Mytilus edulis: one gene and its partners. The protein of the gene in region 3 binds, or shares a complex with, the protein of the main gene of each other region. Links are inferred from orthologs where the notes say so. Each region holds a gene or a part of one and is shown on either strand. Other genes may lie near its edges. The genes, in order: myb-related protein A-like, probable histone deacetylase 1-B and protein lin-54 homolog.

Evidence for each region.
Region 1: protein lin-54 homolog (region 3) and myb-related protein A-like share a complex: the UniProt entries of both Drosophila melanogaster proteins name them as parts of the DREAM complex. The link is inferred for Mytilus edulis from reciprocal best matches to the Drosophila melanogaster genes mip120 and Myb.
Region 2: protein lin-54 homolog (region 3) and probable histone deacetylase 1-B share a complex: the UniProt entries of both Drosophila melanogaster proteins name them as parts of the DREAM complex. The link is inferred for Mytilus edulis from reciprocal best matches to the Drosophila melanogaster genes mip120 and HDAC1.

The regions. Positions count from the first base shown.
Region 1 is NC_092350.1:20,928,251-20,940,010, reverse strand, and holds the start of myb-related protein A-like, read right to left. Parts: upstream 4,743-11,760; 5' UTR 4,665-4,742; coding exon 4,618-4,664; intron 1-4,617. Other genes in the region: uncharacterized protein, read left to right, coding at 7,596-7,640, 8,797-8,874, 9,388-9,597, 10,324-10,461, 10,743-10,803, 11,403-11,470. UniProt on the Drosophila melanogaster protein: DNA-binding protein that specifically recognizes the sequence 5'-YAAC[GT]G-3'. Component of the DREAM complex, a multiprotein complex that can both act as a transcription activator or repressor depending on the context.
Region 2 is NC_092344.1:100,939,831-100,951,064, reverse strand, and holds the start of probable histone deacetylase 1-B, read right to left. Parts: upstream 4,398-11,234; 5' UTR 4,300-4,397; coding exon 4,254-4,299; intron 3,178-4,253; coding exon 3,065-3,177; intron 2,743-3,064; coding exon 2,625-2,742; intron 1,764-2,624; coding exon 1,689-1,763; intron 1,040-1,688; coding exon 901-1,039; intron 494-900; coding exon 352-493; intron 1-351. UniProt on the Drosophila melanogaster protein: Catalyzes the deacetylation of lysine residues on the N-terminal part of the core histones (H2A, H2B, H3 and H4).
Region 3 is NC_092352.1:33,268,764-33,279,862, forward strand, and holds the start of protein lin-54 homolog, read right to left. Parts: upstream 4,400-11,099; 5' UTR 4,328-4,399; coding exon 4,309-4,327; intron 2,366-4,308; coding exon 1,464-2,365; intron 1,141-1,463; coding exon 960-1,140; intron 1-959. Other genes in the region: COP9 signalosome complex subunit 4-like, read left to right, coding at 10,534-10,616. UniProt on the Drosophila melanogaster protein: Component of the DREAM complex, a multiprotein complex that can both act as a transcription activator or repressor depending on the context. In follicle cells, the complex plays a central role in the site-specific DNA replication at the chorion loci.

The DNA of each region.
Region 1 (11,760 bases), on a different chromosome or scaffold from region 3:
GCTAATTTGCACACCTGCCTCCAAATTGAAAAGCTACGAAAATTTCTTTTTCTAATTTGAAATTGCCGCCAACAGCGTGAACAGTTGAACTTATTATATAATAGACTACTGACGTAATTGTACTACGTATTGATGACAAACATTATCACTACGACTTTTGCCATTTGGGAAATCTAAACTACTTGTCTTAAGAGATTTTCGGCGATTAAATATTTCATACAATTGTTCTTTGACATCTTAGCTGAAAGCACAAGTCATAATGAACTACACAAGGATTCTTAATAAGCACTACTTCCTATGTGTAACTTCAAAACTTTTGGATAAATCGACGATCATTTAAGGTTTTTCTGGTCATATTTTTTGTAATCCAGAATAAAAAGTATTAAAAAAGTGTTCAATTAGTTATATATAACATAGTAGCGAGCTAGATAATAACAATGGCAAGTATTTCAGCATTTATTGGGTAGAACACAAATCTAGGGCGCTCGCATAATGCAGCTTAACTGCATAAAAATAAACAAATTTCTAAAAATATGGCAAAGGTCCTTTTGCATGGGAAGTTTACATCAAGGTCATTTAGTCACATGACTGTCATGTGGTTAGTTGCAATACTTATAGTTATTTTTAACATGCAAATTTGCATGATCCTTACAGCTATTTACTGAAAAAATGAAATATCAATTAATTTTTACTAACAGAAAAAAACAGTCTGTCAGTGGAAATTACAGACAATACTCACCAATCTCACTTCACAATTCCTTAACTAAAATATTGATCAAAAACATGAAGTATACAAGATCCTAGACATACAAGGCTTCCAAAGTACATCAAGTAAAATGTGTACAACTAATCAAAAAAAGATATCAAAATAATATTTTATGTCTTATAGTTGTATATTATATAACCACTTAATTCATTAAGTCATAAGTTTAATCGCCTCTAACACTTTGATATAAACTTTGACATCAAATTATAACCAATTCCAGATTTGTACGACATGTCATTTCCGACTTTGGACCTGTTTCTTAGATACATGTAGGTCGAAAACACTAGACACTTGTTTTTGTCAACAAAGGTGCCATCTATCTAATGAACTCAAATATAAAAAAAAATTAAAGATTGAAATATATTTCAGATACAATTATTTTATGCACATGTATACTAGTGACTCTCAAAATAGAAGCCATGTCTATGTTCAAACATATAAGAGAGTAATTCGGAGAAAATTTTGGTTCATTCTGGCTATTCCTACATTTTGAATTTTATAGGTAAAATAGTAAAATTTTATGTAGGAGTTCCCAGAATTTGTATGAAAACAAAGGGATTATGTAGGATTATGTTGTAACAACACTAAAACTAATGAGATCTAATGAATCAAGGTAAATCCAGGGAATTCTTCTGTAAAATAAAGAAAAAGAATAATTTATATCACAATCTTTTATTTCATTTAATAATTTCATAGCACAGTCTATGTAAATAATATTCAAAAGCACAATAGGAATTTAAAGGCATAATGGTATACACAAGTAATTGCAATTATTTACATTAATATATACATTTTGTGCAAGTAAATAATATCAATTGAAATATAAATGTTAAATCATTCTTTGAATCAAAGCACTTAATTTTGAGTTACACTCAACAAAGCACCAAAAGTACACTAAATTGACATTATTCATAGCACTCACACAGTAATACATTACACATAATTCATAAATTGAACATATAAGAGAATACAAAGTCTTAACCAATGTGCAGGAGATGAGAAGCAACATCTCCATACTCGACTGGAGTAAGCTCATCATTCTGTAACCTTGTTTTCAGTGTTTGGAGTCTGTCATCTATTTCCCTTTACTTCCTCTTTCTTGGAATACATTTCCCACCAGCTCTGTACTATATCAATGTGAGAGCACTGAAGGCTTCTTCTTGTCTCAACAACCTGATCATACTGATGATGTTTAGGTGAGGTGCATTTACTAATTATTTTTTTAGTTATTTTTTTAGTTTACTATGCAAATTTAACCCTCTAAATGGTTTGTTGTTCTATGACCTTCTGTTGCATAGTGATTCCACAGACTTTGGTTGTTCTCTACCCAGTAGCTGGTTACATAGTCAGAAAAGTTAAGTGTTGGTGTAGTAGTATCTGAATCATCGATGTATTCCAGTGCATTAAACCAAATATCTACAATTGTATTGGGTGGTTAAACTGCAGCTCTACGAACATTAAGTTGGTGAATGTCTCTCTTTTCACTGTATTCACTCTGCACACCATGCTTCTGTGCATTTCGCCAGATACACTGAGTGTAGTGAAAAAGGCACCCTTTTATGCTGATTCCTGGGAAGATTGAAGTGGCTGCATTTCTGATGGCTATTTTGTAGTCGAGGAATATCTTGGCTGGTTGAAGTAGGATGTTAAATTGGTTACATAGATCTCGAATAAAAGCTTATCAGAGTTCAAAGTTAATTGGCTTGACTTAATCTATTAGGCCAATATAAAATGTACACTTATCTAAAATGATTTATTACTTTAAGCATTACTTTTGATATTATGTTCATTTTTAAAAATCATAATTTGTTAAAATAATGAAATTAATAAATTTTTTGAGGCTGAAGTTGAAAGTTTGGGTATCTATTAATTTTCTTTTTAAATACGTTTTTTACAGACTTTTAAATGTTTTTACTTCTTTTTCTTTTCTTTTCCAATGCTTTTACTTCCTTTTCTTCTAAATAGTTTTTTTTCTACAAATTCCATAAGATTAAAATAATTAATTTTATAACTTAATGCATGTTTTCAAACAAAAAAAATCCCATTATTTTACATTTAAATTTTTTTTTAAATTTAATTTCAACAGGTAAATTTACCTTTCACCCGATTAGACACTAATGACTAAACCAACATATCTTGCAATAACAACATGTATTGTTCTACCACTAATCCGCCATGTAGGAATAGCCAGAATAGTAAAATACAAAATGTAGGAATAGCCAGAAGACACCAAAATTTTAATAGGTGAAAATACAATACACAAGGATATAAAGAGCACAAAATTATTGATTTCCCAAAGTAGACATCATAAGGGGCATCATAAATTGACAAAACTTTGAAAATAGGTATATCCCACAGATTTCCAAGTAATTTGGAAATAAATAATGGGCATTGAGATAAAATAAAAAAATGTTTATGTTTGTTCACATCTACAGTCATTGGACAAAAGTGAGTTCCCAGTCAAAAAAAGACCTATCATTTCAACTAAAATCGATATTTTTCAAAAAACTATTACCAAGTAACTATACATGCTATATGAGCTATTTTCTAAATATAGATACCAAAAGATGTAGAAATATCTGAAGTTTTATTGTTTATTTGGTTATAATATTATTCATGCTCATTTTAATTTTCTGACTAGATGAACACAAAGAAAGATATTTCTTGAAAAGTTTGCTATAATTCTAACCAAATTAAAATCGTAAAAATTTGCATTTGTGTATAATACATCAGATGAAGAAAACAAAACTCAAGAAAATTATGACTAAATAAACAATAAAATTTCAGACATTTTTACATCTTATGTTATCTATTTTATAAAAATTGCTCATACAGTTACTTGGTAATATTTTTTTGAAAAAATATCGATTTTGGTTGAAATGATAGGACTAGTAAGACCCAAACTGGAATATAGTTGTAGTGTCTGGGACCCCCATATGAAAGAACAACAGATACAATTAGAAAAGGTACAGTCGTTATGTACACAACAACTACGATTACACGAGCAGTGTCACAAACATGCTAAATCAGTTGAAATGGCCACCACTAGCTGAGAGACGCTTAAAAACCAGACTTATTTTATTTTATAAAGTAATACATTGTCTAGTAGCCATTCCATCGCATATTTGTGAACAAACAGACAGCAGAACAAGACAAAATCATAAGACATATAGACACATCCAAACTTCCAAGGACACATACAAATGGTCATACTTCCTGCGAACAATTATTCAATGGAATTTACTACCACAAACTGTAATTGAAACCACCACTGTTGGCAGCTTTAGAGATCGACTAACACCAGCGGTTCTCTCTAGCTTTAAATAAACAAATTCAAACAAAACATGTACATATATTTTTAATCACAATCTGTAAATACAAACACTCCAATTGTTATAAAATATTTTTATAAATTTTGTATAAATTTTTGTCAATCATGCATGCGCAACAACATGTATTCTTCAGTATTGAAGCCTTGTTGACCTTAAAGAAGAAGAGACTATTTTTGAGTGAGGACTCGCTTTTGTCTCATAGCTCAGACTGTACATGCATTCATGACAAACTGACCATTTTAAAAAATAGTCAGTTTAGGACAAACACCCATTTCTGTGAGTTTTCATTTATAAAAAAACAATTTATTTAATTACAGAAAATGTGGTAATGTTGTAATTAAAAGTCTTTTTGTTGATAACAGTTTGAAGGCTAACATATTTTTTCTAAGAAAACATGAAACAGTCTGAAACTCTTGGAATAAAAGATGAGTCTGCATATTTCCTTTAAATAAAAATTTTAAAGCAATATTTTCTCCATCTGTTTTCCACGAAATTTGCATCATAAATGTGATAATTTACCATATTTGAATGCCTTGGTAGTGAGACAATCTATACACAAAGTTCATTATAAATCTCTTAAAATATTAAACGCTGGAAATCTTTGACAGAATCCACGTGAATGGCACGTGCGATTGTTTACATTGTGACGTAATCAATCAACGTCGCACCTGTCAAATGTTTTGTTCTATTATTGTTTCTGTTGACGCATTATTCTATCATTGTTTCCCCGATTTGCGTACAATGCCAATTGCATTCTTTTGTTCTATCATTATGTATTAAATGTATGTGTTGCAAAAAAGGAAGAAAGAGAAAACAACATAAGCAAAATGACAACATGAAATATTTCTGTTTGAATTTGTTGAAATTACCTGTCTTCCAGCCATTCAAGCATGCCGATTGAACATCCAAAAATTCATCGGAACTGCCATTCTTGGTTGTCACAAAAACAGTGTTAATAAATGCTTTCTAGAACACAAGAACTAAACAAAAACGGAAAAAAAACAGCTGAAGAAATGACATCAATGGCGGTTAAATTGCGCGGTCGGAATATCCAGATATGATATCTGAAATTTGATTGGACAATGAATATTTCTAAAAATAAAATAGGAACCTTCATTTTTAGATATGAGGACAACCTTATCTCTGTCTTCGATTTCTCATGAGACTACTATCGGATCAGGAAAACGGACAGAAAGTCACAAACTTGATAGAACAAAAAGTCACAAATATTTTTTTGACAATTTTTTAGATATATTTTGAATATTTTCATTTAATTACATACACCCCCCCCCCCCATATATTTTATTTTTAAGTTAAGGAAATTTCTCATAAACCTCGATAAATGAAAACGTATTAAATTTTAATCAAGCAAAGGATGTGAATATTGAGAAAATGAAGCCATTTAGGTACCAAGCCACTTTGACATTTTGTTTTCATAACAACTATTTTATCATTATATATTTATTGAATAAATTTTAATTACATAGTTGCTTTATATATATAAAACTTTTAAGAAAAATACCCAAAAAATATTTTTGAAATAAGTGTTTTTGAACAAAGAATAATAATCTCAAACAAAATTGTGTTTTTGTTTTTGTTTTGTGACTTTTTGTCCATGACTTTTTGTCCTGTGACTTTCTGTCCTACATTATCGCAATTTTGTCCGAGTTGCCATGTATTCACACAATAGATTAGTAATATTGTAATCATATATTGTACAGTCTGCATTATATGTCTCTGTTGTCAATAATGAAAACATATATTTCGTATCATATTCAGGACGAGAACAAGTTCACAATAAATACAATAGGTAGGTTGATGCAATAGAGGCCATCTGTGATGATGGTTGGAGAAATTTGGAATGCCACCGGAAAAGGAGGGTATATTGGATAGGGATAGAAATTTTGCCTTGCAACAGGCCACCTACGGACCCCTCAAAGAGTTGTTGCAAGGGTTCTTAACGTGCAAAGAGCGTGGCACTCTCTTTACACGAGGCATCGGATTTAACGTCCCCCTTCTGACCGGACGTGACTGCGAACTTGATACATCCCGCACAGCCAAACGGACGCCCCTCTTCGGCAAGCGTTTTACTGCCGGTCGGGAGAAGACCAAGCGACCATATTTCTATACCCCAGTCACCCTTGGGGATGATTTGTATAGTAAGAATGAAGTATTACTAATAAATGATTTATTAATTGAATAAATAGGTAATCAATTCCAAAACGGCTTGCCATAGAATTTAAAAATTAAAGATTGAATTCATAATATTAATTCTAACAGAGACATATAAATATGTCTCTGATTCTAATCAATAAAAAAATACAAACTTATTTATAATATAAAAAAGGACTATTCATTGAAAAAATATTTTTTAGTATATTGAAAAATAATTTTTCTATTAACAAATGATATTTCTTCTATAAACAAAATTGAAACGATTTATTTTTTTAATAAATAGAGAATAAATTCCACAACGGCTTGTCATATTGTATAAAGAGTCTTTTATTGTGAAAATAATACCATAGAGGCCCCTCATGGGGGGGTCCTAGTAATCACATAATCACCATTTTTTTGCCAATATAATCACATAATCATTAAATATTTGCTTATCTTTAGTAATCAAATAATCATAAACTAAAAATACAGTCCTAGGTAATCAAATAATCATGAAATATTTGGCTTAATAATCAAATAATCATTAAACAAACGGCCAAGTAATCACATAATCAAAAACCCCATGAGGGCCCTCACCATACACCTTACAAAGATGACTGTTTTATTTTAGAACAACCCTTTTTAGCAAAATCTTTATATTTTATGTTTAACCGCAGAAAATATTGTGTATAACGGAATGTTTTTTTTCTTTAAATGTGATGTAAAAGTTTTATTTATTCATTTGTAAATGAATGTTAGAATAAGTTTTAAAGCAAAAGTGTCTCATAAGTCAGTCATGACTGGATACCGATATTTTAACTTCGATTTAAATTCTTATTTGTATTTTTATACTTATATTATTATGTATGATATTGTTCAGTATTGGTATGTGACACTATAATAAAATATTCTGTCTGTCTGTCTGTCTTTATTTTAGAATTGGAAAATAAGTTAAGAGTTGACATATTAAATGTAAATTTGTTCCTCCCAATATAGATTAAATAATATGTTGAAAAATGGTACTATATTTTCTACTTCACGAAAAAAGTTTTAAAGCAAAATGTAAATCATAAAAATTAACTATTCGTTGAACTTTCAGAATGTAATTAACCTTCCAATGCATTCTAAATCCTTTTTTTCATTTTTGTAGATCATACATGTCTCTAGTTAACTGTTTAAACTATATTTATAAGATCTTATAAGCATTCGATGCATATAAACAGTATCATCAATATGCATGGCCTAGCAACTGGTTACCATATGTTTATAATTTTTTAGATACAGTAAATCTACCTTTCGGAAGGCTTTGTATCTATTCAATCTAGCATGAAGAATGAGTGAATATGAAGTTGGAATACACATCACCTGAGTATCTGGTGTTTTATGTTGTAAGATTTTCTTTCACTATCATACTCATAGGGAAATCTTAATGTTAAATTTTGTTTACAGCACAAATCAGACTTGCCATGTCTCTCGAGTGAACCACTGGTGACTGGTTACCACAGCCAAGAGCCATACTACTTCAATTCTTGTCTTTGTAAACACAAATTTTATGTGGATCCAGGATTTTGAAAGGGTTACATATTAGTCAACGCTTGTATTAAAACATGTAAAAGGTCTATGCATTAACAATATAAGTTGTTCCATGAGTGGTACTGGGCACCCCCCCTTTTTTTTTAAACCCTAAATGATAGATCTGCCTCTGTCTCTGATTTACTTTACAACTTAAGTTTTAACACTTTAGTTCCATAATTTAGGTCTTCACCATTATATCTCTGTCCCACTGTAGTGTATTGTTATGCAGATGAATATAACTGGATATTAAGTTTGAAAATTGAACCCAACAGTGTTAAACATATAGCTAGAGACTGGTTCCTGTGCAGTAAAGTTTACCATGAAGTTCTCGTCACATGAAATTAAAACTCTGTACACTTGTACACTTATTTATTATGATATTTTAAATTTACATGCATACATAATAATAAGGGTGTGACCAAAGTATCTAGAATACATCGTAGGAAGGCGTCACAGAAAACAATAAAAAAAAAGCCATTCAAGACATCATCACTATTTGGACTAGGGCATGGTGTCCCTAAATAATACAGTATAAATAAGAAGATGTGGTATGAGTTACATTGAGACAACTCTGTAAGTCACAATGTATAAAAAGATAACAATTAAAGATCAAAGAAAGGCTCTCAACATGTAGCCTTTGCTCAAACCCAACAGTAAGCTATAAACATGATAAAGGGTCCCAAAATGACTAATGCAAAACAATTCCAACTGGAGAGTCAACAGACTATATATGAAAAAGAAGAAAATCTATTTAGAAAACAAGAATCAAGAAACATCTGTGACAACCACCCCAAACAACCCCAAACCAACCACTGACAAGCCACATATTCTTGTTGATTGATATATTTTGCACATGGTAACATTTCCTATTCAAAATTAACCTGAGTTTGTTCAAGGAACAGCTTAAAATAATGAGAGGACAAAAAATAGTTTTGAAGACTGAAACTCAATTTATTTTTGTAATTTTAGACCCTGTTTACTGTGATAGGTTATATAGATGGATGTTCTAGAGAGAGATCCAGGGTTGTTAGACGTGTAATAACTGAAGTAAGTATATAGGTAGACATTTGAAAAAAAATGTTCTGGCATCTAAATATATACATATGAATGATTATAATTATAAATTTCATTTTATTTTATTTTATTTTAATTAAATTTCTGAACAGCATCTCATGTAAGGACCAACATTATCCTGATTATTATTAATTTTTACTGAATTATTGCTTTTTAAAAATACCAATGATTTGCGTCTAGAGATATTGCTGTGAATGACATCTGCTCAAGACAGGAGTGGACGTGTGATATACATGTACACTTCTTATTTAAATGACAATCAGATAAAATAAGATTGAGAAATAAATTTGAAAAAATTCTAAAGTAAAAACGAAAGGAATTATTCATTTCAGTTTTATTGACTATTATAGTTGTATTTTCCTTTCTAAAATTATTGATTGACAAAGACAACTCTTAAACATGTTGAATATGAAGTAATGCATTGAGTTTATGATATTTGAATTGCAATTTCAGTAGAGTTTTATCAATATGTTGATTGTATTTTAGAAAATATATCCATTGTACAAATCTGTCCAAGCAGAGATTCCAGATACATGTATCCTAAACAAAGAGAGAGATATTTATGCCATCCAAGAGGACCAAAAATATAATGAGCCACCCAATAAGTGGTATTGTAATATCTGTGGTAAAGGGTTCATCGCTGAGTATTACTTAGATCTACACTTTACCAACAGACATAAAGAATACATTAGACAGGTAAAGATTACAACTTTTTACTGCAGTATATTTATATTTAAATATCAGCATGATCAGGCTCTGGCCATGTACTGTCATTGTCAATATAATCTTCATATAAAAAAAAGGTAAAAGAAAATGTACACATATTTGTCTGGACTATACAATACCCCCTGCCTGTGGTATGATGGTTTGTGTTCATTATTCTGTGAAAAGTAAGTCATCCAGAACACAAAGTTCAAAATTGATCTGTAACTGAACATAATACATTTATTTATCAGCTTAATAGCTGTAGGCTTAAATTTTAGCACAACTTTTATTCTGAAATTAGAGAAAGAATGTAATATGGTGTCTGGTGTTGTTTGCCTGGTTGCTGTTTCATTAACATTTGGCCAACAACTATTTTCTTTCACATTGATAACATTCAATTCTGCAACTATTGAGTGGCTTGAGTGTCAAAAATTACCAAATAGAATATATAACATAAATATTACAAATATTTCATATTTTCTTTTTACGTTCTCAGTGGTCTCCTGGTAGCGTGATCATTACAATTAGGATGAGGGTTTGAACCCTAGCTTGGTCAAAGCAAAGACACATGGGCTGGAAGTGTGAATAATGTGTCTTGGTAGGATGACATGTCTTCTGATGACTGTTACCTTGTGAAATAGCACATTACAATTTCTGCTCACTATATCCATCTTTGACACAGCAGGACTAAACATTAACTTCTTATTTCGTTGACAGGGGGAGGATGTGTTATGTTTAGCTGACTATTGTGATCTATATAGATGTGATATAGTTGCCGGTATACAAACAGCTGAGTTCTGGGATATTTCCTTATGTTTAGAAGAAGATATGGAAGATATTAAACAGAGATGCAAGGTAAAAATAAATACTATATTGATAAGTCAACATATAATGGTTACATGTACTTGTTCACAAGAATGAAAAACATTAAATACATTATAATTGGGCTTTGACTAAAAATATTTGTTATCAATAAAAAAAAGAGTGAAAAGACACCAAATCAGATTTTGTAAAGTTTATTAAAATTTCAGTTGTCTTCACTTGATTTGCTACCTAGGTGTTAAGTTGTACTATTGACACTACATGTTCAGTTTAAAAGAAGAATTTTGTATAATGGTTTGTTTCTGTCTTTGTAGGAAGTATTCAGTACTTGTGTTCCTCAAGGTTTATCAAAGAATGCCACACTTACTTTAGAAGGTAATAATATGTGTTTTGTATTTTTGTGTTGTGTATTCTCTAGCCCACAAATTTAATAAAATGGATGAAACCTATTCATTTTTTTTTTTGAAATATGTAAAACTCAAATGAATAAAACAAAATTTGTTCCATACAGTTACTTCTGTAATGTGTGGAAAATGTGTAGCTTATATGTTGAAGGCAGTTTTGGTGTAAATAAAATTTGGACATAATACCATTATACATTGTATGTTGTGTGTAAATCATCCTTTGTTATTTACTTACTATATAGATCCAATATAACTTTTAAATCACCTAAAATTGTGAAGTAGCAAATATAAATGGAATTCTGAAATATCTTGCATGATATATCACTTATTTAATGTTGGGGCTTCCCGAATTTATTGAGTGGGAGGATTGAAGATAGTTCAATTAATTAAATATTGGTAGTTGTATTTTCCTTTAAAATTTTAATAGGAATATATATATGATTTTTTAAAGATAAATGAGGACTTAAAAAAATACCTCTTTGCATTCAATTCTTAAACAGCCCTTAGTTGTTTCACCTAACTTTCTATTAAATTGTCCTATATTAATTATCAGTATATTTATTCTTACAGAAGGATTAAATGAAATAGTTTGTAACTTTCATTCCTGTAAAAAATACTGGGAAACTCCACTAGAAAAGGTATGTTATATAGGGGTAGTGATTATGATCATATTCTAGATGTCACCGATCCATTTCTCTTCTTTATAAAAGTCCAAGACTTTCAATTGACTTTAGTGAAGTAATTTGAATTCTGACTAAATCATTTGTGCAAGTATTTCCTGGAAATTCCCTTTTAAACTGTCATGATGAAAGAAATGGCTATGACCACAAAACTATATTAGATCTTAATATCACAAATACCTGTTGAAAGTGTTGACAAACTAAGAAGGTTTATTGATTTATTTGTAATATCTAAACAGATACCAGTC
Region 2 (11,234 bases), on a different chromosome or scaffold from region 3:
ACTTAAATAATTAAAATACTCCTTTTTTATATGTAGTAATTTGCTTTTTAATGTATATATGAAGGGTAGATATATTATAACAGATCATATCCAAATTCACAATAGAACCTCCTTGTTGGTTTTATGCTTGCCTCAAGTGCCAGGGTTTTGATCCTTAGCCTGGGCCAACAACGACTTTTTAATTGGTATTCTTTGCACTCCATATTGCATTTTTAAAAGATGAAGAACACAGTCTTGGGTCATACTTACGTGTCCAGTGTGGTGGCAAGTAATTCATTATTAGCTAACAAGTTAAAAATTCAGCTTGCCATGTCCATTTAGTCCAAATACGAGAACATTGTCTGTACTCACCCTCAGGTCCCCAGTACCAGGGAAATATTCCCCGTATTTGTGGAATGAGACAGTCATAACTCTATCTGTTGTATAAAATGCTTCTTCTACACCGTCACCATGATGTATATCAATATCTACATACAGAACACGCTGGTGATATCTGTAAACATGAAAGATAAATGATGAATCTGTATTGCAGTGGCTCTTAAAATAATGTTATTCGCAACAAGGTTCTAATCTGCTGATTAACTATATTTCAATTGTATATTCAGAATTTTTTATCATTACATTTGTTAACATTATGAATATTTTCCACCAAAAAAAATGCAGATTTATGGTTGCCATTTTGCACAAATTGTTAGGTTTTATTATGGCATTAAGGTTTATATTTTGTAGCTTGTACTGCCTCAAATTGACAAAAAGAAAATGAAAACATTATTGTTTCTTTTTTTATCAATCCTTTTCCAAGTCCACTCAGCTATAATATTGAAACTCTTTAACTTGTATCATCTGTGGAAAATGAATAACAAGGTATAATAACTTGATGTTATATTTGACAAAACTTACTTCAGTAGTTCTAAGATAGCCAGTACGATATCATTGACGTAACAGAACCCTGAAGCTTCTGATTTCTTAGCATGATGAAGTCCACCAGCCCAGTTAATAGCAATATCTGCTGCTTGTTTGTTTAATTTTACTGCTCCAGCTGTATTCAGAAAATAAAAATATGTCAGTGACTGTTAGAGTTGTTAACAATCATAAAAAGGTTTTGTAGTGTACATTTTATAACACCATGTCAAATTTGTATATACTACAATTGGCTGAATTCAATCATAATAAACAGATTGATTGTGCTAATTCATATAAAGCAATTTAAACTTTATATTTATTAGGGGACCTTAATTCAAATTCTTAAATTCAAAATTATGAATACTTTAAAAAATATATATGCTATACATGCAAGTTTCAACTATAACATTTAGGAATTCATTACAAATAGTTATTTTTCCGATTTGAAATTCTGGGGAGACAATTTCCATTTACAATATTAGTTTATTGAGATATCACATTCCTATAGCTAGAAAGTCCTAAAAAGGCCACCACATGCCAGAGTACCCTTATAAATGTACTACATTTGATGGTACAGGTTCACTATACTGCACTCAGATAAAATGGTTTTAGTACTTTGAATATGCATAATTACTTCTAAAATATAATTTTCAAAAATGTTAAAACAAGAAATTTGTTCTTGTCAGAGTATATGTGATACTAATCTACAGAATTCATACATTCCATCAAATCAAAAACAGGGCAGTCATCTCCAACGTTAACTTGTCAGAGTATTTAATACTAACCAACAGAGCCACCAGTTGACAGCTGACAGAACTCATACATTCCATCAAATACAGGGCAATCTTCTCCAACGTTAACTGAAAAGATTTATAGATCTTATAATTTACATTTATTTACATTAGTACAATTGACCGGTATTATCAAAGTATTCATAAAAACTTTCAGTCTGCACGGTTAGCCACTAGTCCGATGCCCCAGACTAGTAAAATTTCATTTCGGACTAGTAAGTTTTTGCAAAACTTTGTTTGGCCCAATAAGAAAAATGTCAGAATATTGGTCTTCGGACTAGTAGTTGAAAAAGTTTTTGGTGCAGACTGTTATTTGCTATGGCCTTCAATAATGTTCAGCTTTGAATTTATGTTTCAACAAAAAATAAGTACTGAAATGAGAGCAACTATTCTGTAGACACTTTTTTCAGACGATTAAATTTACTTAGTAACTTTGTAATTCACACATATAGTATTTAATTTTAGTTATTCTTGGTCATTTAAAATTTAATTTGTTAAAAGTAAAACTTTAACCAGTATGGACATGATGGATAAATGGTGAATGTGTCACACAATGGGACACAGATGATGCCCCCACTTGCATATAATGTCCGAAAGGGACATATGAATCCCAGAACTGTAAAAAGTGACTGCCCAAATTTGTACTTGATCTGATTTTTGTTGTAAAAAGCATTGGGTATAAGTTACATAACATTTGATTAAGACAAACTAAAGTAAAAAATCAGAACAGAAACGAAACATTCAACAATTTTTCCATTTGTTACTGTAAAGGGGCATAACTCTTGAACTGTTACAACTTATTTTAAGCATTGAATTAAAAGACGATTTTTAATTGATTGATGTTTGATTTTTGCCGTATTAGCTTCAAAAGGCTATACTGTAGAGATGTTACTAAAGAGAGATAAAGTTAATAACATTATATATTATTACATCGCTGCATCTGTTTGTTGTAGTCCGACATGTTATCTGGTCTTATACTTCGTAAAAACTTGATGTAGTCATCACTGTGGAACTTTGTCATTTCTTCTTGTGTGGCTTTGTGTGGTCTCTGTTGAAAAATAATAATTTATATAAAAAAACTTTTCTAGATCTGCGTCTCTTCATTTTCTGTTTAATAATATGAAAAACTACATAGTCATCAATTAATGCACCAATGCTCTTAGAAAAATAACTGAGAAGATTGTGGGTCACAATGTCATCCACCAAAATATTAATGAACTACAATGTATGTCAAATAAATGTAGTGTACAATACAATACTATTTATAATAAAGATCGTTTTGAAGGAAAAAAGTTTGGAATATAATATTATTTATACTTGTAGAGACTGCAGAAATTTTATTGATCAACATTATTTATACTTGTACTTACATAAATTTCCATCTTCCTATAAAGTCCATAATTAAGTATAAGGTTGTGTGTCATACGTATTCTGTGTGGCTTCATGGGATGACCTTGGCCATAGTAGTAATTTCCAATGTCTCCTATTCAATGGAAATATTTAATTATTCAATTATGATTTCAAGTGAGAAACTGAATATGGAAATATAGCTGTACAAGAATATTAGATTGGTTATCCAAAATTCAGGACATTAAAAAAAGCTAGAGCATGGTTTTCACAAAGAATTGTTCGTGAAAAGTTCAGCAAGCCAACTCATCACTTTGGACATATTAAACAAGTCCATAGTTCTGACAAAATTAGTATCTGTCATCTACTTATTCAAAGCCTCATCATTTATTTTAGTCTTACAGTTTTAACGAAATACATGTATAAACAAAATTCTATTTAAATTATATTTCAATTTTTTATTATAAATTTCTAGTCTGAATAACAAGCCTCAATTTCACCTTACAATAATTCATTTTATAGTCAAAATCATATTATTAGCTACCAAAGAGTTAGAAAAATAGAAGATTCATATTTGAAATGAGACCCCTTTCCCTAAAATAATTTGAGGAGACAATGACATTGCATTATTTATCTTAGTTTCACAATCCTTTGTCCTTTGGTCCCTACTATAGCATAAAATATAAAAGAAAAATGGGCTTCCATAGATTGAATTTTAATGTTCTATCAGCAAATTCAAAACTTTTGATAATAAAAGTAATAAAATGCTTGTTTCATATCATAAGGGTTGCAAAATGCTCTTTCCCTTAAATAATTCAGCCAAAAACGATTTTTAACTGAAATAAAAGTGTTTTAAAAAAATTGTTACTTTCGTACGCCGAGCATGGGAAAATGGGCTTCCATAGTTTTTCAAAGGAAATAGGCGCGATTTTGTATAATTAGTGTTTCTCTGCAATAAATTAATTCAAAACAATACCAGAACAAATATAATATGTCTTTCATCATAAATAAACATAAAAAATGATTTAACAATACATAATTTCAGATTTTTACATCCAAACGTGAGCGGCTTTTTGGGGCCTGCATAGGGGAACGGACGCTTCCAACAAAAGTTTTTCCTATTAAGTGAGTATAGTACCACTTTCAGTCCCCTTAAAGAAGCAATCGATATATTTGAGAGGTCGAAAACTAAAATATTGTTTATGAACATACCATCGTAATAATAACAGACTCTTTTCTTGCTGTGTTGTGAGGCCATTGTTCGAGTCAAGCGATGTTAAATTGCAGCGCCCTCTATTAACAACGAACGACAATCAAGTATAGTTCTTCCCGGAATAATTTTAAAATAAACTTGTATTGGAATTTTGTCGAATCCGAAACTAGATATTTAAAGTATCCACGAAAACATTTTAATTAATTGATTAAATCTAAGAATAATTTAGCCCCTTATTGAATTTAAAATTAAAACAAAAGGACTAAATACTTAAGAATTTTCAACAGGAACTTTCCCTCGAGTATTGTATTATATGTCTCTGAGTATAGAGGGGGAGGACAGGGGGGTACCCTTCTCCCTTCTCCCACCCCTCTTCTCCTTTCTCCTACCCCCGTTCTCCATTCTCCCATTAGAATAAAACATCTCTTTTTGAGATATTTTTTCTTGAAATATTAGATCATTTTTTAAAAGGAGAGATATTTTATTTTTTCTCCTTTCTCCAACTTTTTCTCCTTTCTCCCAGCCTTCCTCTCCTTTCTCCTACCCACTTTCTCCTTTCTCCCACCCCCTTTCTCCTTTATCCTACCCCCTTTCTCCCTGTCTCCCTTACCCCTGTCCACCCCCTCAGTATACTAACTTGTCACAGTCTTAGAATTGTAGAAATTCATGATGACATGGTTTCTTTTGGATATATTTTATCGGGATAAGTTTTAACTTGAGTTTTATCAGTATTGAAAACGTTCGACCACTGAACTTACTTTTAAATAGTTCTTAATATTTTAAAAGAATTACATTGTGTCATGATGTAATATTTTTGTTCGACCAGTCCCAGATGCGGATTTAGGGGGGGGGGGCAGGGGGCCCGGGCCCCCCTTTTTGGGGAAAAAATCGGTTGCTTATCACAGGCACTTGTTTCTATCCATACGAAGGTCGACTATCCATTTATATGGATAGTCGACCTTCGTATGGATAGAAACAAGTGCCTGTGTTGCTTATATAGGGAATCACTGAAGCGACACTCGAGCAGGCCCCCTCTTAATTAGGTCAGTCAGTGGGCCCCCACTTATGAAACTTGAATTTCTGGATCCGCCACTGAGTCCTATTTAGAAGTCAAGTAACTTGTGATAACTGTCTAGAGTGTCTTTTCCAATGAAAGATTAGGTACTAGTCAACGGTGATGACTGCAGACATACTTAATTAAATGAAGCATCTTGATAAAAGGAGAAGTATGAATATACGGCAATGAGATACAGACAACCGGCCATAAAAAAAAACCACAAGACATCGAGGCATCTTAATAAAAGGAGAAGTATGGATAAACGGCAATGAGATAACAACCAAACAAAATGAAAAAAAAACCAACAAGACATGGCGGCATCTTAATAAAAGGAGAAGTATGGATATACGGCAATGAAATAATAACCAACTAAAATAAAAAAAACTACAAGACATGGAGGCATCTTAATAAAAGGAAAAGTATGGATATACGGCAATGAGACAACAACCGGCCATCAAAAAAAAACCAAAAAAAACACAAGACACGGAGGCATCTTAATAAAAGGAGAATTATGAATAAACGGCAATGAGAAAACAACCCCCCCCCAAAAAAATAAAAAAAATACAAGATATGGAGGCATCTTAATAAAAGGAAAAGTATGAGTATACGGTAATTAGACAACAACCCAACAAAATAAAAAACACAAGACATGGAGGCATCTTAATAAAAAGAGAAGTATGATATACGACAATGAGAGGCAACAACCAAACAAAATAACAAAAACTTAAAGACATGGAGACATCTTAATAAAAGGAGAAGTATGCATATACGGCAATGAGATAACAACCAAACAATAAAAAATGTACAAGACATGGAGACATCTTAATAAAAGGAGAAGAATAAATATTCGGCAATGAGATAACAACAAAAAAAAAACAAAAAAAAATACAAGACATGGAGGCATCTTAATAAAGGGAAAAGTATGGATATACGGCAATGAGATAACAACCCAACAAAATAAAAAAAAATACAAGACATGGAGGCATCTTAGTAAAAGGAGAAGTATGGATATACGGCAATGAGACAACAACCGGCCATCAAAACAAAAAAACCACAAGACATGCATATGGAGGCATCTTAATAAAAGGATAAGTATGGATATACGGCAATGAAATAACAACCAAAAAAAAAATAAAAAAATACAAGACATGGAGACATCTTAATAAAAGGAAAAGTATGGATATAAGGCAATGAGACAACAACCGGCCATCAAAACAAAAAACCACAAGACATGCATATGGAGGCATCTTAATAAAAGGAGAAGTATAGATATACGGCAATGAGATAACAACAAAACAAAATAAAACAAGAGGCTGTCACAACGACAGCAAACCGGATTTCAATATGATTAACATTTATTCATTTATTTGTGTCCTGGCAATATCACAAGAACCATAACTCCTGAACGGTAAAAGTCAAAATCGACATTATTAAACTTGACCTCCATTTTGTCATCAGTAACAACATATTAAAATTTGAAAAGCTTTGGGTGAACAGTTCATGAGTAAATGCACGGACATGACTGGAAACGCCATTTTTCAATCTTTCAAGAACCATAACTCCTGAACGGTAAAAGTCAAAATCCTCATTCTTGAACTTGACCTCCATTTTTTCATCAGTAACAACATATTAAAATTTGGGAAGCTTTGGTTGAACAGTTCATGCGTAAATGCACGGACACGACTGGAAACGCCATTTTTCAATCTTTCAAGAACCATAACTCCTGAACGGTAAAAGTCAAAATCGTCATTCTTGAACTTCACCTTCATTTTGTTGTCAGTAACAACATATTAAAATTTTAAAAGCTTTGGATGAATGGTTCATGAGTAAATGCACGGACAACATTTGTTTGCCGCCCGCCCGACCGCCCGACCGCCCGCCGTACATCCCCAAATCAATAACCGACATTTTTGTCACAAAAATCCGGTTAAAAACTACAAGGCATGGAGGCATCTAAATAAAAGGAGAAGTATTGATATACGACAATGAGATAACAACCAAACAACATAAAAAAACACATGACATGGAGGCATCTTACTAAAAGGAGAAGTATGGATATACGGCAATGAGATAACAACCAAACAAAATAAAAAAACACATGACATGGAGGCATCTTAATAAAAGGAGAAGTTTGGATATATGGCAATGAGATAACAACCAAACAAAATAAAAAAAACACATGATATGGAGGCATCTTAATAAAAGGAGAAGTATGGATATACGGCAATGAGATAACAACCAAACAAAATAAAAAAACACATGACATGGAGGCATCTTAATAAAAGGAGAAGTTTGGATATATGGCAATGAGATAACAACCAAACAAAATAAAAAAAACACATGATATGGAGGCATCTTAATAAAAGGAGAAGTATGGATATACGGCAATGAGATAACAACCAAACAAAATAAAAAAAAACACATGATATGGAGGCATCTTAATAAAAGGAGAAGTATGGATATATGGCAATGAGATAACAACCAAACAAAATAAAAAAAACACATGATATGGAGGCATCTTAATAAAAGGAGAAGTATAGATATACGGCAATGAGATAACAACCAAACAAAATAAAAAAAAACACATGATATGGAGGCATCTTAATAAAAGGAGGAGTATAGATATACGGCAATGAGATAACAACCAAACAAAATATAAACTACAAGACATAGAGGCATCTTAACAAAAGGAGAAGACAAATATGGATATACGACAATGAGATAACAACCAAACAAAATTTAAAAAAAAAAACCCACAAGACATGAATGCATCTTTATAAAAGAAGAGTATGGATAAACGGCAATGAGATAACACCCAAACAAAATAAAAAAAAACTACAAGACATGGAGGTATCTTAATAAAAGGAAAATAAAATTGAGAATGGAAATGGGGAATGTGTCAAAGAGACAACAACCCGACCAAATAAAAAACAACAGCAGAGGGTCACCAACAGGTCTTCAATGTAGCGAGAAATTCCCGCACCCGGAGGCGTCCCTCAGCTGGTCCCTTAACAAATATATACTAGTACAGTGATAATGAACGCCATACTAATTTCCAAATTGTACACAAGAAACTAAAATTAAAATAATACAAGACTAACAAAGGCCAGAGGCTCCTGACTTGGGACAGGCGCAAAAATGCGGCGGGGTTAAACATGTTTGTGAGATCTCAACCCTCCCCTATACCTCTAACCAATGTAGAAAAGTAAACGCATAACAATACGCACATTAAAATTCAGTTCAAGAGAAGTCCGAGTCTGATGTCAGAAGATGTAACCAAAGAAAATAAACAAAATGACAATAATACATAAATAACAACAGACTACTAGCAGTTAACTGACATGCCAGCTCCAGACTTCAATTAAACTGACTGAAAGATTATGATTTCATCATATGAACATCAGGCACAATTCTTCCCGTTAGGGGTTTAGTATCATACCATCATAACATATATGAGAAGAACATAACCCGTGTCATGCCAATAACTGTTTTTAGAATAAATGTGTTTAGTTCCGATGCAAAGACCTTATCAGTGACTCAATATTAACGCCAAAATATGCAATCTTTAATGACTAGACAACAGTATCGTAATTATATCCCTTCTTAATAAGTCTATTCAGAGGTTTTGTAAGTTTCTGAGGTGAATACTGACACCTTTGTTCTTTATAAAGAATATTTCCATAAAAAATTGGATGTGAAATACCTGAACGTATCAGAAGTCTGCATGTTGAGCTATATTTACGAATGATGTCTTTATACCGATGATAAAATTTAGTAAATGTTTTGACTAGTTTGTGATATCGAAAACCCTGGTGTAATAATTTTCAGTAATACATAAATTTCTCTCGTTAAAATCTAAAACATTGTTACATACACGAGCGAATCGTACAAGTTGAGATATATAAACACCGTAAGATGGTGACAAGGGAACGTCACCATCTAAAAACGGATAATTAACGATAGGAAATGAAAAATCATCCCTTTTATCATAAATTTTAGTATTCAGCTTTCCATTAGTGATATAGGTATGGGTATACGGTAATGAGACAACAACCCAACAAAATAAAAAAACACAAGACATGGAGGCATCTTAATAAAAGAGAAGTATGATATACGGCAATGAGACAACAACCAAAGAAAATAAAAAAACTTAAAGACATGGAGACATCTTAATAAAAGGATGAGTATGGATATACGGCAATGAACAAACAACCAAACAAAATTTAAAAAAAAAAACACAAGACAAGATCTAATAAGCTTTACGTAGATGGAATGAGACACATATCTCACTCTGGCAACACCAAGAGCGAGACACCAAACTTGAATGATGATCGACTATTAATTTTCAACTAGTCACATTCCAAACAATTTAAAATTTCAACATTGAAGCCCGGATCAATCGCCTTATAAACGTATGCTGTGTGTATATCTGTTTTAAAAGATCTTTGCTTTTCTCTCACAACTAAACAGCTTTATGATATAGCAGTCAACGGCAGACACACTAATAAATAATTATGTTCCTTAGTCAAGGATTATACATATTTAAACATCAATTTAATCCCTTTGGCCGTCTACATGAAGGAAAAGCTCGTAATCAGAAAAAAAAAACTTACTTTATTTGCGATAAAGGTACTAAAAATGGGATATATTTAGTACAATCTGATGAGTGAGAAGGAATTAAGTAAAATGTTTATGTATATATAGTTAATCCCGATAATAGTTTTACGAGTAGTGTTTTAAAGACTGTTGTTTGTTTCAAATCGCTTTCCTTGTTGACCTTGGTGTCTGTTTGTATTCCACTTCTTTAAATTGACTCCGGTTTTTGAAGAATGCAATAAGAAGGTTGAGTTCTTTGTTGTTCACGATTAAAGAAACATCTATACTACAGAGACCAGAATGAAAAGTATGTAAGCAGCCAATATAAAAAAGACCAAACACAAAGAAGACGAACGTTGGACAGTCTTCAAAACATTACATACAAATAAATACTATATGCAACATGAAAATCTGTCGTGAAAAGTATAAATTCGGTGTTAAGTCAATGACATGTTGGATATTGTCACAATCGAGGAACTTCAACTTTACTATTTGGAAGAAGTGGTTCGATAGCTTTCCTGTAAGCAGAAACATTCTTGAACTTGCAAAACAAACAATGCTCGTGAAATAGAATAGAATGAAATTCAAAACAGTGTGGCTGTGGCCATTGATTGATACATTAAATTCATCCATTGACTGGGACAATTTACGTGAACGTTTGTCTGTAACGACCACTGTTCACGACGTACCTACGATAGACATTTAAACTGTGGGGTTACCAAAGGTTTCTTAACGCCTTTAATTATAAAATAATTCGAAAAAATAATCACGAATAACCTTTATGTTTTGATTTATATAATTGATATAAATCAAAACATCGTGTTATTTCTGATTAATTTTTCGAATTACTTTATTAAGGTGTTGAGAACCTTTGGTGACCCCATTGTTTAAGTGTCTTTAAAAAGTACATAGTGAGCAGTGGTCGTTACATACAAACGTTCACCTAAATTGTCCCAGTCAATGGATGAATGTAATGTGTCAATCAATGGCCACAGCCACACTGTTTTGAATTTCATTCTAAGTAAGGTGGAACCGCGGGGTCTGAGAATAATCTACAAAAATTATAATATGTGATACATTTTGAATGTTAATCTAATTGTGTAGTACGATGCTCAAACACTGTCAATTAATAACAATTAACTGAACTGTACGTTGTAGACGAGAACTATGTATTGCATGTATATTGATCTCTCAATCTTAATTCAGTAATATACTACCGAATTAGACTATTAACCGGATTTGTAATAACATACGCAACACAAAATAAACGGGTATCACATGTGGAGCAGGATCTGCTTACCCTTCCGGAGCACCTCAGATCACCCCA
Region 3 (11,099 bases):
TAAATAACAGTCACAGTTGCAAAGTCTTTATCAAACCCTGTATGACATCATGTAATCAATATCAATCTTGGTTGCAAAAGCTCATATCCAGATCAATCTGAGACACCAATATATTCCCAAGAGTGTTTAAGGAACAGCAAAGTAAGGGTCAAGGAGACTTCATTGTCCTAATCGCCATTGTTTTTCATATTGATTGAATGACAATCTTATATTTGGGATTGAAAACCAAAATATGTAGCAAAAGATAAAAACTTAATCAGCAAAGTAAGGATCAGACTTCATTGTCCTAATCACCATTGTTTTTCATATTGACTGAATGACAATCTTATATTTGGGATTGAAAACCAAAATATGTAGCAAAAGATAAAAACTTAATCATGGCTCTAAGTCTTGAACAACTAGATGTGTCAAAGCGACACGAATGGCCCAATCTCAAAAAGTTGGAAAATCTGCAATTTCAATAACGCATGTGGTCACAATCATGATGGTAGTCTCACATATCAAAAATCAGTTCACAATCTGGAGGCGTATAAAAAATGTCCATATAACTGTGATTTTCAACAATTTTCAAAGTTGTAAACCCTTAATTTTGGCAAAAATTAGCTGAGCGAAACGAAACTTAACCTTGATCTGTAACTCATCATGGTTAACTCACATACCAAAAATCAGCCCAATATCTGAAAGCATTTAGAAAAAAGTTCCGTATAACTGTGATTTTCAACAATTTATCAAAGTCCAAAGCCCGAAATTACAGCAAAAATCAGCCGAGCTGAACGAAACTTATATTTGATCTGTAACTCATCATAAGTAACTCACATACAAAAAATCATCCCAATATCATAAGGCGTTTAGAAAAAAACTCCATATAATTGTTTGTTGCGGAATGACGGACAAGTGTAAAACTATATGGCACCGACAACTTTGTTGCGGGCCATAAAAATGAAATTGTCCAAACATACCTGCAGTTTGGCCTTGCTGTGATGGAGCTACCAGTCTAACATATTGAACTTTGCTGCCTTGAATATTCTGCATGCTAGATAAGGGTATGGCAACTTGTCGTACACCACCTTGTGTCTGAGGTTTATTTATTGTAATAGCCTGATTTGGTTGGAATTGTATCTGTCCTGGTCTCTGCTGAACCTGATTTAAAATTTCATGATTAGTCATCTTAAATTATTTGAGGCTGTAAATACAACAATAATCCTAAATTCCAAAATAAATTAAAATTTCAAGTAGGTCTTTAATTACATTATTCTGGTTCAAATTTGACAGAAAATCATTTTAACTAACATTCTTTTATCAACCTAATAATTATATTTTTCTCTTTCACTATCGTGTATTGGTAAGCAAATTTATATGTCAAGACATACATCAATGTCAAATCTTTATATCAAACATGATAAACCCTTACAGTAAACATTGAAAAACGTTTTTGCTAATTATCCCTCTTTTATAATACTTACATTTTGTACCACTGTGCCTTGTTTAAAAACTTTTGAAGGTGATAATGTAATCATTGTAGGTCCTGATGACACAGGAACAGCTGTATATGTAGCACTATCGGATAAACTTTTACTTAATACAGATACACCTGAAGCGGGCGCTATCCTCTGCGGAGATTTGCCAACAGTCACTGGTATCATTGTTATTTTTGTAGGAGTCTTTGCTGGAGAAATAGGAATTTTTGTTATTCCAGGCTTTGGTGAGCTTACAGGCAAAGCAAAATATTGTTTTTGTGGTGACATAATTCCTTGCTGAGAAATTGTAATGGTCTTTGTAGGTGTCTGTGCACTTTGCGGCACCACATTGACAGCAGGTGCCATTGATTGATTAAACGTTAATGTCTGTCCATGTTGTAAAGACTGCAAAGATGATGGATTTAACTGAATTGGTACAGCTTGTGGTTGACTTGAGTTGGGATTTTTTGTAATTATAACTTTAGTTACCATAGGACTAGATGATGAAGCATTCAATTGTCTTTTTACAGCCTGAGAAGATGTAGTTGGTAAACTACTAGCACTTACAATTTGTGAATTGTCTATCAATGTACTAACAACAGATCCATCACTTAATCTTATTAACGTTCCTTCTGAATGTCCACTATCCGCTGTTGAGTTGACAATCTGAATTTGAGTATGATTATTAGAATCAGATGAATCCACTAGAACCTGATCAACATTTCCTAAGTTGGATTCTGTGGTCTCTAAATTTCCAAGTGTACCTTCCAGATTGTCTAATGGATTTAACACATGGCCTTTTAACTGGTTATAATCAACTGAAATAGTATTTCCAGAAAAGCTGTTGGAATTTATTTCTATTGACTGAGCAGATGGATCATTTTCATGAATGTTTACTACACCAATGCCTGCAATCATAAAATATAAAAAACATGAATAGGTACATTGTATTTTTCTGCTGTGTTTTCAGTTAAGAACAAATAATGAAAGAAGACCTCCAGTGTTTTCCATAGAGGCTTGAAGAGGGTGTATATGCATCCTGACCAATATAAGTGGTGCTCCTATTGATTAACTTTAAAATTAAATCAGAATTCCCCATCACTCTGCAAAAGCCTGCATTGTTCAAAACAGAATGAAGCACATACATTTGTACCAAAGTTGAAACATATGAGATAATATAAGTAAAATAGAGTTTTCAGTGAATACATATTTACACGTGCACTTGTATACAAATTTGACCGCCATAATGTAAAATGATACAGGTTCCTGTAAACTTTGACATCACATTTAGAAAGCAATTGTTTATTAATGTCACAGTTAGTCACAGTTAAGTTATTCTCAGCAGATCAAAGGTCATTCAGAAACAAAATTCAGCTAAATACGAAAAGTGTATATACGTTTATCTGATGCAATTTTAATAAAAAAATAAAGAAGAAATGCATACAATCTAAGCCTAGATGTGCAAGTTTACTGGACTGCATCGAATACCTTTTGTAACCAGAGTTCGCGAAAACTTCGTTTGACCCGTCGGTCATGGGACCGACAAAGCAAGATTATTTGTCAGTCCTACAAAATTTTAGCCAGTCCTAAAAAATCTGTCAATTTGATCCTAAAATAAAAATAATAACATATTTTATCCAAAAATATCTTTTATTATTATTAGTTTTATTTTTCACAGCCACGGACAAATTAATAATGAAGTACGAGTTCTGATCTTCTGATTGTTCTTAATTAAAGTCATTTCTCTATCTATTTCATCAACTGAATCATTTTCTCAGTATTTGTTATCTCCATCTACGATTTCAATCGCCTATTGTTTGCCAAGAACAAGTTTAGCAGGCCACGTGTAGATCAGCACTTTGGTGTCCATAGGTTTCAGTTTGTTTAAAACAGGAATTACCAATAAAAAAAGGAACTACAACAGCTGTTTTTACATCGGTCATCAGGACCGGCACTAGCTTTCAAAATACTGGTCCAAGCCTCATTTTGACCGATAGGACCGACCATTTTCGCGAACTCTGTGATACAGGGAAAACAAATTGAAAACAACAATTTTAATTCTTTTTTCTGGCTATTAGTTATTTGATATATTCAATCAGGCTTTTTTTTTGTGTAAATTGTCAATATAAAATACATACACTTATGAGTTATAATGTCTGTGTAAAATTTCCTGTGTATAGACCAGCATTGAGCGGAGCACCTCAACTGCATGGAATATATTCAGGCTTTTTCAGGCTATATATATATATACATTTGTACATCTCTCATTGCTAGTGAAATATCACTGACATGACTAATGCATTTAGTTAATATACATAAATGTTATTTAAAAAAATTAGTTGAAACACATTCCATGAAATTAAACATGTTTTCTGTTCAGCCTCAGATTTTTTTGCTCTTACATATTTATGATGAATGTTATTTGAAAGAAAACTATGATAAGCACTTTTTTCCTGTCAAACGAAAATTTTTCCATAGGAACAACTCAAATAACCCGCCATTTGCCCGACATGAATGCAGGGAAATTTAAAATGACGAAACTAAATCCAACTTCCTAATTCCGTCAAATACAACCGCAACAGTAGCTAATTTTGTTAAAACACATGCATTGATGTTTGTTTTAATTACTTTTATGTATTGCTGTTTATCTGGGAGGCTGCAGTTAGTATTTGATCATGAAGACGTGGAAAAATCGAACTTATTGAGAGGGGTATGAACAAAAAATATCGCCATGTTCTCTTATTTTAGAATTTTGGCAGGCGTTCTATATATGAGGAGATAGATAAACAGTCAGTTTTTGCATGATAACACGCTTATTATTCTTTTGTTCTTATGATTATTTGCAGCGTACCCGTTCTCTGGGCAGGCATTCTGTATTTGTTCAAAATCACGCGCCCACCATTACCATCCCATAATACATTGCGGTGTTGATTTCCGCGAAGGTGATTGAAGTAAAGCTATGATAATATTTAGTTTTGAATAAGTGAAATGACGGGAAATTTGTTTAAAAGAACTTACTTTTAAATGTGTTTGAAAAAAATATAATTTCCTTTAAATTTTCAATATTATTTACAAAATCAAACAGTCGATATTTTTATTTGATCTGAATGAGGATTTAATAGAAAAATGACTTCTGATAAACCCCGTTTAAAATGCGTAAACAGATAGGCAACACTTTTGTGACGGAAAAAAATGTAGATGATATCATTTCTTTCCGATCTGTAAATGCAATACCTTTTTGAAAGATACATAAATTAAAAAAAAAATTGTTGAAATGTATTCATTTGCATTAAGTAATATAACTAAGGCACTTGCCGGAGCACTTTAGCAGATCGCTAGACATTATGAAATACCATGCAAACTATAGTTGTGATTGGTTTTTTTTTTTTAAGAAGAAAATGGTGTTTAAATTTAAGTAAAAATGTTACATGTCTGCACATGGACACACATAACTATTTAAGAATACACTAATATTTGATGTCAATAATTATTTTCTTCTTTTTTAAATTTCCTCACGAAAGGCACGAAAGCAACTCCCGCGCATATATTTATACCATTGTCTGTTTTATTCCTGTTTGTATTTAGTAATTTCATCACTACTAAATGTAAGTGTGGTTTGTGTAAATGAATATTGTCTTTTCGTCAGTCTGGGCCTGGATATTATACTGATATATAATAGTCAATATATTATTGTCAATAAGTCCAAATCAAAAACAAAACGTGACCAAAAAAAAAGTTTTCAACATGCCTATGAGTTTGAATATCCCTTTGGTATTTTTCGCCTATCTTATTGAGATTTTACATTCAAGATTCGACTGTTGTATTTATAAGCTGATTATATACATTTAATCAAATAATTGCGCTCTGAAACTCATTTAACGCATCTGATTGAAATCTTGAAACAGTAGACTGAATCAGACAACATGACTATGCAGTGTCGATTTTGGACTTGTATAAGCATTTTTAGTAATCTCCAACCAGAATTCATACAAAACTCTCTCAAAGACAAAAAGAGCATATTGCAAGAATCTTTTTGTTTCCATTTTCAGATACATATTGTATATTGATATTGTTTTTCACACAAACACCGCATTATTTTAAATGAGTGGTTACATCTCATATTTCCCAGTGAACGTTCGATTAGGGATACTACCAAAAGTAAAAGGTCTGATTCATTTCTTGATAAGTTCCTCGATATCGACCCAGAAAGACTCCTTTAAACTAGAATATATATGTCATGACAAACGTGATGACTTAAATTTTTCAATGGACTACTTCCCTTTTCCAAGCAGTAATATAATCTCTGCTCACAGGCGTTTACATATATCTCAGTAAAAATCTTACGATCATGCTTGTTCGTAGATAAGAAGATGCAGTATGATTGCTAATAAGACAACTCTCCATCATTATTTTTAAAAGTAAACACTTATAGTCAAAGTACGGCCTTAAATAGAGAGCATTGGCTCACACCAAACAGCCAGCTTTTTCGTTACCCATAATCTGTATGTATTAAACACACATTTTCAACCAAATAAGTAATGCCTAACTTGATGGATTAATGTCACAGGCACTTGCATCTGATTTCTAAATCGCTATACCTTATATAAAAGTATATAAAAAATCAGAGACAAGTGCCTAAGAATCAATTACCACTGGGTTTTTTTCTTGAGCCATAAGCAATCATATTCTTTTTGTTATTTTGATTCTGGGAAGGGACGGCTCGAATGCCTAACGTGATTCAGTTGTAGCGAACATGTCAAGAGTTCTGTCACCATGTGGGAGCGTCTTTTTACTTTTTCAAAAGCTGACTGATATTTATAAAACTGACTTAACTGATTAACGTCTAGTCTTAAGTAAATTGGCGTATTGAATAAGCAACATCCCTGAAACATTATATATACTTACGATCTGGTTACATAACTTCGTCCAGAAAATGTTGAACTTCCTTTACATTATTTGGAGTTTTCCGATTTTGTACTGAGTCATCTGTATTCAGATGTGGGTTAATATCATCCTCACTTACAATGCGACTTTCTTTTCAATTACTTTACATTTGATAGATTTATTTTTAACCTAGAAATTTGCAGACGTCCCAGAACTTTGTTTAATTGTTCAAAATAATGATCACCAAGGTTCGGACTACATAATATGATATTTACATAAACTTTCAGGTAGGTTAGAAGTATCTTACATGTAAACCCCTGCATTTTAATTCCATATACAACGCTGAAAGTGGACTGTGAGTATTTCATAACCCAAATAAGATATATCAAACACGTCATATTTTGTCATTTACAATTGTCAGTACCTGAAAATCACAAATTGAGAACACTGATGCATTTTCAACCAATAAAGACAGGAAGTTATTGAATTTGATATTGGATATACATTTTCCCATGTCTCATTGATTGCCCTTTAATCTATGGACCTCCTAAGAGTCACATCTTTTCCTGGACTAAAACCATTCCTGATGCATAAACAGACTAATACGATACAGGGCCGTAACCATCCTCTTTTGATAGTGAGGCAAAATATATTTGCTGAGCGTAGTAAGGCGAAAATTTTTTGGCGAAGCTCTGAGAAAAATAACGCAAAATCGTGCATTCTGAGCGTTTCCTAGACTTTCCTTGCATTGAAACGGCTTAATTAGTTTTTGGCTATTTTTTTCGACAATATTCTGGTCCCAAAGCAAAAACATAGATTCATTGTATTTTTTGTAATTTAAGACTTTAAGGTTCTAGATACAACATTAGTCTGGTTTAAAAGACCGATATGTAGGATAAAGCAAAAATTGTAATTCTCATAATTATTGAATACCGGATCTGTCTGTCTGTTCTTTTCTTGTATTGTGCTTAGACTTTGGTGATTTTATTTATGACTAGATTTAAATATAGTGACAGTGCAGTATTATACTTTAAGTACTAGTTCTGCTTAAGTTCACACTAGAAACAATTCTTCACCTTGTTTTACGGTATTAATGATTCTCTCAAAGTATTGTTGAAGACCCTCCAGCAACTATATAGATGAAGAACAGGAACAAAAACTTTGACTATTAATCATTTGTATTTTTTCTATGCATTGACTTTGTGTGCGATTAGGTCCTCTGAAAGTGTACTCCATATTCCTTTATTTTCTCAACACGACTTAATGCAAGTTTAACCCTTTAATGTAAAAGATCACATATGGCAATACCTTGTTGTTATTTTTTCAAATTATTTGATACCGGGTAATAGGTGACCTTACTTTAATTCAAACCATGTCAGCTATCTAGTTTTATTTACAAAAAAACTATTTTGTATTCTTTGATATCAATTATTTGTCCATGTAGAAAGGACCATTTTTTTGTGTCCAGTAGCATCGTATATATATTCTAAAAATATTTTCTCGCACAATGTCTGGAATTCGAGGGACATGCAACATTGCAAAACCACGTTTACAAATGAAAATCAACACTCAGACTATAGTCATAAAGTAAGACAATAAATGAACAAAAGACAAACCCGGGACACAGGAAAATAGAAACATGCATGGATAACAAAAAAAAAAACATGCAGGGGCGACATCAAAGAGTGAAGAGAACTTGCGTCTTGAAAGACACTTTCCGTGAAAAACAATTTGATATGAAGACAATCTTTTGTTTCTTTTTTGGTTTTTTTTTGGGGGGGGGAGGGGTTCTAACATGAGGCATATGCCTTATTTGCCTCAATGTAGTTACGGCCCTGCGATACAATAACCCAGGGGCGGATCCAGCCATTTTAAAAGGGGGTTCCCAACCCAGGACAAAGGGGTGTTCCAACTATATGTCCCCATTCAAATGCATTGATCGTAAAAAAAGGGGGATTCCAACCCCCGGAACCCTTCCCCTGGATCCGCCACTGTAACTAATGCTGAAGCTGTTCTTGTCGTATATCTATTTTATATTTCCTAAGCATGTTCTGTTGAGAAGATTGTCAAAATTACAATTATCTTGAATTTATATGGTTTAATCGGATCTCCCAACTAGTATCTGAAACCTGTAACCAAATTGCACATCACAACATCAATTACCTTCGTCAGATGTAGTAATTGGCTTATATGTTATTCTCCCGAATGAAACACAGATGCTAGAAGGGTCTAGTTGACTTATGTATTGTCCTGAAAACTTCAAACGTGGTGACATCATTAACAGTTTTAGGTTTTTCGTTGGGTATTTTTTTGTGAACGTATTACACCATAATAACTTATCTAAATAAACTCATCATAGATACCAATCCAATTAAAGTACACAAATGTATATATCTCTATAAAGAAATCAGAGATCTATATTTTAATCAAATTGCATAGATACCAGGATTAAAAACTGTATATACGCCAGACGCGCATTCGTCTACAAAAGACTCATCAGTGACGCTCGAATCAAAAGTTTAAAAAAGCAAAATAAAATACAAAGTTGAATAGCATTGAGGACAAAAAATTCCTAAAAAAAAATACCGAATACGGCTAAGGTGATCTATTCTTGTATTCCTGAGGTAGAAAAGCATAAGTATTTAAAAAAAATCGGAGATTAGTAAACAGTAAATTTATAATTATGACCATATAAATGATAATTCATGTCAGAAGTGTTGACTACTGGGCTGGTGATACCCTCAGGGAATAAAAAATCCACCAGGAGTGATATCGACCCAGTGGTTGTAAATAAACTTCTTATAGATACCAGGATTAGAAATTCGTATTTGCGGCGACACTAATATAATTTGCTACGTCAGACTACTATACAGAAGACTCATCAGTGGTTCTCCAATCGAAACGTCAAACTATATAAAATAAGCATTAAAAACCGAAAAATCGACATATGCGTGTTTCTCATAAAACAAACATCTTCAAAACCTCCTTAAAAATGCTGTTGATAAAACGTCATTACAATAAATGGATAATAAAGTAATTTTAAAGGATAAGTGTGAGTAAAAACCACAAAATCTCTTTAATTATAGTATAAAAAAATTTATGGTCGAATCTACTTGATTGCAAAGCCGAAGTGGTACACGACCAAAACGACCAATGCCAAACTGGTTCCATAACCGAAAATACCAAGGCGAAGAGGCACCATGGCCGAAACATCGTGCTTTCAACCGTTTCGTCTCTACACCTGTCGGCCTTGATAGTTTCGGTCCTTGGATCTAAATGTCCGTGTCTATCAATGTTTACGAATAAGAAAATAAGAGGCAAGTTTTTTTTCCTTTTTTATCTATTATATGAATATAGAAAATGTAATAGGCGACAGAGTCAGCTAAATATTAAAATTTTCTTATTTTTTTTGTCAGTAAATTGAAGTCTCGATTAAAGTAGATCAAACTATGTACATCTATTATGACAAATGATCGATATAATATTCATCTATGCACCACCTAAACGTCACATCTTTTCCTGGACTAAAACTATTATTGATGCACAAACCTACATGAACGTTTAAAAGACTGGCGTTAAAATTACCCAATACTGAAGCTGCGCATAATAAAGTCATTTATAAGAAAAGAAAATTAATATATTTTTTTTATTCAAAATATTATGAATAATAATTGTACTGCATCAAATAATAATTACTATCTTAGTAGATAATCGATTTCACCAAAGATATATATCAAATAGAAAAAAGGGGGGTGGGGGTAATTCCCAAAGAGCCTATGAAATGAGGGTTTATTATAAGACCATACAACAAAAACGGTTTCCTTATAAAACAACTTGTGTTTCTATGAAATATTTTTTGAAACTTGACAAAAAAAAAGGGGTAAAAAGTCAAGTTCCTATATGTCTTGCTAAGGATTTGTTTAGAAAGTCTTACTACATGATACAAATCCTTGGTCTTGTGAAATTTTCATTATATAGTTTTAGACAAGAAAAATCTTTAATTGTCATCTCCTGTATCTTTTTATATTCAAAATTAGATAAATTTGAACATTTTTGGAAAAATGCCAACACGGTAAGGGGGTAAACAAACTTTTCCGGACTTTTAGAGCATGTCTTTTCCGAAATTTTATTATTAGATCTTCAACAGCAAATCGTGCTACCCACTTTAGTTTCGAATAAGTTTTGCGTCAAAATGGCCTCAAATTTTAGGCAACAACTTTCTCAGTTAGCCACATTATCGCACGGCGGAGGTTCCCACAAAGATGTCACAGAAAAGTATGAATATATTTGTTTGTAAAAGAATTATACGTTTAAACTAAAACATAGTGCATGTTCCTTTTTATTTGTCACATACATTTTGTATTTCAATAAATTAAACAAATTTTTCAAAACATTTTTTTGAGGGTATTTCTTGTCGGATTTTTACCAGGCGCGGATCCAGAAGGGGGGGGGGGTTGGTTCCGGGGGTTGGAACCCCCCTTTTTTTTTGGACGATCAATGCATTTGAATGGGGACATATAATTGGAACCCCCCCTTTGTCCTGCGTTAGGTACACCCCCCCCCCTTCCCCTTTTAAAATGGCTGGATCCGCCCCTGATTACAAACCAGAGGTTCAAAGATGCACACATGTTTGAAGATTTTCTTTTACCTGATCAAAGTTATGTTGTCAGTTATTTTTTGTCTTTCTTGATCAGTTGATCATGTTGAACAGGGGAGGTTTACAAGTCAAATCGACACCTGTTTAAATCGGCATCTAGT